2 linked regions of the Saccharomyces cerevisiae S288C genome follow. Changing the gene in region 2 together with the main gene of any one other region gives a genetic interaction. Each region holds a gene or a part of one and is shown on either strand. Other genes may lie near its edges.

Region 1 (3,173 bases), on a different chromosome or scaffold from region 2:
TAAGTGGAAGAGGATTCTTCACTGGAAGGAGCCTTGGTGGAAGAAGAAGAGGAAGAAGAGGATTCGGTGGAAGAAGCCTTGCTAGAAGATGGGGCAGCGCTGCTGGAAGAAGCTTTAGTAGAGGAGGAAGCGCTACTGGAAGAAGCCTTGGTAGAGGAGGAAGCGCTACTGGAAGAAGCCTTGGTAGAAGAAGAGGCCTTGCTGGATGAAGAAGCGGATGAGGAGGCACTGCTGCTGGAATCGCCCAATGAAGCATTTTGTTCGGAACAAGAACTCTTGAAAGCAGAATAAGCAGCATCAGCGTCATTGTTTGGGCAGATGGAGTCTAGACATTTCTTGACGGCGGAGTTTTCGTGTTCACAGTAACAGGTGACTTGATTCAAAGAGTCACATGTGGAAGAGGATTTGCCGACTTGCGCAACACAGGCCAATAAACAAGCTGGAGGTGTTGCTAAGACTTCCTTCGACAACAATGCCAAAGAAACGACTGAAGATAATAAAGTGGTGGCACGCATGATAATATATAACGAGTGTTGAACGAGTGTAGTAGTGCTGTGAGCTTTGACCCTGTGTGTATTAACAACTGGCGAAATCTATTTATCATCCCTTTGTTTATAAGTTCGAGAGTGTTTATAAACGGTGAAAAATTCGTGAAAAATTAACGGAAAAATTGTAAAAAAGAAATAATGGGTCCTAATGCATGTGGTGCATGGGTCCAATGCTTCTATAAATAGTAATTTTCCGGGTAATAGGTTTTTGTAACGTTATAATGGCTTTACTATTGATGCTATATACAGGAAAAGAAAGTATAGAGGTATTTTCTAGTACGCTTCCTTACTGTTGTGGTGGAGTAGGAGGTGTAGGTGGTGTAGGTGGTGCAGCTGGTGTGGATGATAAAGACGGCGTGACCTTTAACAGATTTCCGTCCTCGTCGTATTCTGGGATGGGAATGTCCGTTCTCAAGTTTCCATCCTTACGCAATCTATCGATAACAATGGGCTCGAAAAATCTCGTGCCCGTGTAGACTCCCACAAGGCATGCGATACCTATAGTGACCATATCTAAAGTGTTCTTTCGCATATTGCACTGGACTTGACGTTTCTTGTGTTTGTTACTTTTGTCAGTTGAATGACTGAATAACACTACAATTGTTGTATTTTTCAGCCAATCCATTTCTTCATCGCGTTTCCCCTAGTTTATGCGGAAAAGATAGAAGAAGCGCACAGGCAAAATATGATGTAATACAATCAATTGTGGCCAAAAATACAAGAGAAGGGGATGACTGTAGCTGTATTGTCTCTATTCTTTTCAAGGGGTTGTTGATGTACCGTTGCTGAAGGGTTCGCTGTACTATTTAACACCCTTTGGGCTTTCTAGCTTATTGTTTAAGCAGCTTTTATTGGTGGCGTACATACTAAATTGTAAAGGCGCGCGCCGGTCTGTTAATGATGTTGAAATTTTCATTTCGAGGACTTCGCCCTTTTCTTCCTGAATGAATCAGAGAAAGTGAAATCAAATAGTAAGTCAGAACCAACCATTCGGAAGACCTCATTCTTGCTCATTTTGATATTGCTCTGTATGGGCGTATCTCTTTTAGCTTCTTCTTCTGCATTTGTAACTAAACCACTCCTCACTCAATTGGTTCACCTCTCACCTATCAGTCTCAATTTCACCGTAAGACGCTTCAAGCCATTCACGTGCTTATCACGCTATTACACAACAAATCCTTATAATATGACATCCAATTTTAAGACATTCAATCTGGACTTTTTAAAGCCGGATTTAGACGAAAGATCGTATCGGTTTATTGAGCTACCTAATAAGCTGAAGGCTCTGTTGATCCAGGACCCAAAAGCAGATAAAGCAGCAGCGTCGCTAGACGTCAATATTGGCGCCTTTGAAGATCCAAAGAACCTACCTGGATTGGCGCATTTCTGCGAGCATCTTTTATTCATGGGCTCTGAGAAATTTCCAGACGAAAACGAATACTCGAGCTATTTAAGCAAGCACGGTGGTTCATCCAATGCCTACACAGCATCGCAAAACACAAATTATTTTTTTGAGGTTAATCACCAACATTTATTTGGTGCGCTAGACAGGTTTTCAGGGTTTTTCTCTTGTCCTCTTTTCAACAAGGACTCTACTGATAAAGAGATCAACGCCGTTAACAGCGAAAACAAAAAGAACTTACAGAATGATATTTGGAGAATTTACCAATTAGACAAGTCTTTGACCAATACAAAACATCCATATCACAAATTTTCTACAGGAAACATCGAAACTTTGGGCACATTGCCAAAGGAAAATGGACTAAATGTTAGAGATGAACTGTTAAAATTCCATAAGAATTTTTACTCCGCTAACCTAATGAAGCTATGTATTCTTGGTAGAGAAGACCTTGATACTCTCTCTGATTGGACTTATGATCTCTTCAAGGATGTAGCCAATAACGGTCGTGAAGTACCCCTTTATGCGGAACCTATTATGCAGCCTGAGCATTTGCAAAAAATAATTCAAGTCCGTCCTGTGAAAGATTTGAAAAAACTAGAAATCTCTTTCACTGTCCCTGATATGGAGGAACATTGGGAGTCCAAGCCACCGAGGATATTAAGTCATTTAATCGGCCATGAAGGGTCCGGTTCATTACTAGCACATTTGAAAAAATTGGGCTGGGCCAATGAGCTATCTGCTGGTGGGCATACTGTGTCCAAAGGAAATGCTTTTTTTGCTGTCGATATAGATTTAACAGACAACGGGTTGACACACTATCGCGATGTTATTGTCTTGATCTTCCAGTATATTGAAATGTTGAAAAACTCACTACCTCAAAAATGGATATTCAATGAACTGCAAGATATCTCTAATGCTACCTTCAAGTTTAAGCAAGCTGGTAGCCCATCTTCCACAGTTTCATCATTGGCAAAATGCTTGGAAAAGGATTACATTCCTGTTAGCAGAATTTTAGCCATGGGTTTGTTAACGAAATATGAACCTGATTTGCTTACCCAATATACGGACGCTCTGGTCCCGGAAAATTCTCGTGTTACTCTGATCTCAAGGAGTTTAGAAACAGATTCTGCTGAAAAATGGTATGGTACTGCGTATAAAGTGGTAGATTATCCGGCAGATTTAATAAAAAACATGAAATCGCCAGGTTTGAACCCTGCTCTGAC
Region 2 (3,934 bases):
GGTTTGTCTCTTCCAGATTGCTGTCGGTATAAAATTTCGCAAACTCTGTCTCAAAGCTATCTAGTAATTCAGACATCGTTTCTTGGTTCCCTACTCAGTGCTGCATCTCTCTTGAAGACACACTTATCTCATACTGAATGTGTTGAACTTTACCCCTAATAATAGAGATTCCTCAGCTTTTTCCCCGGCGCGACGAGCTTTCCTATGTGTGAAATGATAATTTTTTTAACTTTCTAACACGAGAATATGAGCATCACCTATTAGTCGTATAAATAAATAATTCATAACAAAATACATAAATTGTAATAAATAAAATGTGTTAAAAATACACACTATCATAAATAATTGTCGTGGAAACAACGCCACTCATTTGTTACTTGAGCGTTTCAAAATTTGGAGTTACTCGAAAGCTCAGAAGCATGTTTTGCCTCAGCTACTTTTTTAATTGCCTCAGATAGTCCCTTATCAACACGAGCAAACATATCATAAACGCGCTGCTGTATTTGAGGACAGGCGCCTTCTACATGAATGCCGATGTTATATGCCAAGTTCTTTTGCTGTCCAGGTTGTTTACCCAAAACGCGGTAGAGATTTCTTGCTTGCACGAAATCTACATCACCTGGGGATGTTGCCCAATGATAAGGGATAGCTGGCCCATTCCATACCTCTTGGTGTTGTTGAATGGGTCTGTCCTGTTGGATATACGTGTACGATTTATCGTTGGCCAAATATGTAGGTTCTGAGCCGAAGTTGCCGTTAACATTCATCGGTCCATCTCTGATAGCGGGATTGAAAAATTTAGATGCATATGGACAGTTTACGGGTATTTGATGGAAGTTAGGACCTAGCCTGTATCTATGAGCATCCGCATATGAAAACAAACGGGCCTGTAATACTGGATCAGCGCTTGCTTCTTGGTAAGGAACCGTGGTACTGGGGGCGAAGGCAGCTTGTTCCACCTGTGCGAAGAAGTTCAGTGGATTCTCGTTCAAAACAATCTTACCCACACGCCGTAAAGGGAATTGCCCCTGAGGCCATACTTTAGTCAAATCAAAGACTGAAAATGGTAATTTTTTGGCATCGCGTTCGGTCATTGTTTGAATATAAACTGTCCAGGAAGGATAGTTTCCATTCTGAATAGCCTCAAATAAATCCTGCTGGCAGTAATCTGGATTGGATCCCGCAATTTTGGTAGCCTCTTCTATGGTCAAATTCTTTATTCCTTGATCGGTTTTGATATGAACTTGCACATAATGCCAATCTCCGTTTTTATTGGACCATTTATAGGTATGACCAGAATAACCATGCATACTACGGTAGTTGGCAGGGGTACCACGGTCTGAAAAAAGGATCATTACTTGATGAATGGCCACCTGATTTTCAGGAGTGGTGAGGAAATCCCAAAACATGTCAGCATCCCTTAGGTTGGTTTGTGGGTTTCTCTTCTGTGTGTGGATAAAGTGAGGGAACTTGGAAGGGTCTCTGATAAAGAATACCGGTGTATTATTGTAGACCCAATCTAAATTACCTTCTTCAGTGTAGAATTTGGTGGCAAACCCCCTTGGATCACGAACCGTGTCGGCACTACCTTTATCACCACCCACAGTCGAAAATCTTGTTAGACATTTCGTTCTTTTCCCAATTTTACTAAACATAGCAGACCCGCAGATATCAGTAATGTCATCGGTTACTTCAAAATAGCCGAAGGCACCAGAACCATGAGCATGTGGATTCCTTTGAGGAATATTTTCCCTGTTGAAATGAGCCAAAGAATCAATTAAGTTATAATCTTGCAAAAGCAAAGGGCCATGTTCCCCAATACGTTGGGTGACAAATGGTTCATTGATTGGATTACCAGTGGAGTTTGTCACAACTCTATCCTCTCTTACATCAGAGTAATTTACTTCATTTTTTTCTTGTCCCAATTTCGACATCTTCTAGGGTTCCAAATTTATTTGTAAGTACTATTATATTTATTTAACTTACCTTTTAAATAAACCTACAAGAAATTCAAATGTACGATTTGGACATTACAGTGAAGAATGCTTTCTACATCTCTTTATATGTATGGCGATATCAAAACTGGTTGTTTCTCCAATTCTGTCACTGTGGGGATTTTCGGAGTTTATATTTGTTAAAGCCGTCCTTTTTCGGATTAAGGGACCCCACCAACTTGCGCGGCTAATTCCGGCCAACTTTTTGCATTACTAATTGCGGCTTTAAATAGTGGTTAGAACAACCGCTCACTTCTTCACGCAAGGACGTTTGACAGAGCTTTTTTCTTCCTCTGTCAACTTTCTCTTTAAAATATTAGTTAGCAGCTTTTCATCAGGAATAACCTTGTAATTCTTGTCGATGGTTTCTTCACAAACTTGCAGCGAATCTATTTCGCTTTTCAAAACTCTCCGAGCCATAACATCTCTTAGTTCTTCCCTTGTTAATGAGTTTCCTTTCGAAGGTTTTTCGATAGAAACGCACTTTTTTATGGGGTAATCGGCTAGACGCTTCATAATACAACGTTTCCATGTGGCACTACAGTTTGTAGTGGCGCGGGCACCTTCTATCAATTGTAAACACTTCTTTACAATTCTCTCCACTTGCCTTTCCATTGCTTTTATGTCCAGTTTGCATAAACCTGGAATTTGGCAAAGAATTGTCAAGATTTGGACCAAAAGTATTAGTTGAGGCAACAATTCACCATTATTATAACAATCATATGAATCTAGTACTATTTCTTCACCTTCTAAGAATTCTTGAATATTGGCGTTATTGCGTAAGATATCAATACACCTGTCCAAAAATTCAGTATTCGTCTCAAAAGTCTCTTTTAACGCCTCGACAATATTTTCAAGTAACACTTCTCCAAAATCATACTTCGAACCGTCCCATTCAACATACCCATATCTTCTTAGTAGTTCCGAATTTGGATGTTCTCCGTATATGTTGTACACTTGTTCATTCTTTTCAATATCCCTCAAAGCAACCATCTTTAAACAGTTAGAGTCGTAAGTTAAATTAGCGTTGCATTTACTGGTATCTGCATTCAACATATCAGCAAGTGGAATCATCGATTTCAAGTAGCGCTCATTTTCAAGTTCTTCTTCACTGGTTTCTTCTTCTTCATTTTCATTTACACTACTATCTTGCATTTCCAAATCAAAGGAGTAACTCAATATAATGCTTGCAATATAGGCAAAATTATCAAACTCGAAGGACGTCGCTACACGTGAAAATTCTCCACCAATTTGTTTGATTGATTTAATAATTCTTTCATGCATCTCTTTGGCTTCCTTTTTTCCTATTCTTTCAAGGACAAGTGATGGTTTTAAAAGTTGCAGTTCATTATCATCCCAAAAAATTAACGCGTTCATATCGCTTGGTTTGTTCCAAACTTTAAAGTAAGGCGCCCATCGGCTTCTTTCTTGCAAAACTTCCATCTCATAAAGTATACAGATAATTAAACCTTCCCACGATCCGGTTTCGTTCAGGAACTTATCCTTGAGAGAAGGATAATCCTTTATCAGTTGAGATGTTGTAACGCTTAAAACAGAACTACGAGGTATTTTAAACAATGTTTCATCCTTCTTAATCTTTTGAGTGGCAACTACTGCGCGGCCTTGATTATCACAACAAAGATCTTTGATTTCTATCTTAGGGGATACTTCAATTTCAGCGGTAGTTTTTAACCAGCAAACAAAGTTTTCGGTATCTCTTGAAAAATCATCCATTTTCGCAAACTTTCCCCTTTATTACTAGTCATATTGAAATGATCGTATTAAGCTTTTACAAAGGTAATGAAATTTTTTCATACTCGAGAGAAAAATATGTGACACATGTGTGTATTACCCGCAGTAACTCTCGAAGATTACATTTGAATAATATCAATACTTCCAGACCAATAGCTTTATTGTATTGCCAGGGCACTTGGTACATG

Evidence for each region.
Region 1: of CTA1 (region 2) and ECM19, a mutation in one rescues a mutant of the other (synthetic rescue), as found in Saccharomyces cerevisiae (one study listed by BioGRID).

What each region holds. Positions count from the first base shown.
Region 1 is NC_001144.5:901,066-904,238, reverse strand, and holds ECM19 (Ecm19p), read right to left. Parts: upstream 1,174-3,173; coding exon 835-1,173; downstream 1-834. Other genes in the region: CCW14 (Ccw14p), read right to left, coding at 1-515; STE23 (metalloendopeptidase), read left to right, coding at 1,579-3,173. UniProt on the Saccharomyces cerevisiae protein: May be involved in cell wall organization and biogenesis.
Region 2 is NC_001136.10:967,747-971,680, forward strand, and holds CTA1 (catalase A), read right to left. Parts: upstream 1,935-3,934; coding exon 387-1,934; downstream 1-386. Other genes in the region: ubiquitin-protein ligase RMD5, read right to left, coding at 1-76; RKM4 (ribosomal lysine N-methyltransferase), read right to left, coding at 2,244-3,728. UniProt on the Saccharomyces cerevisiae protein: Catalyzes the degradation of hydrogen peroxide (H(2)O(2)) generated by peroxisomal oxidases to water and oxygen, thereby protecting cells from the toxic effects of hydrogen peroxide.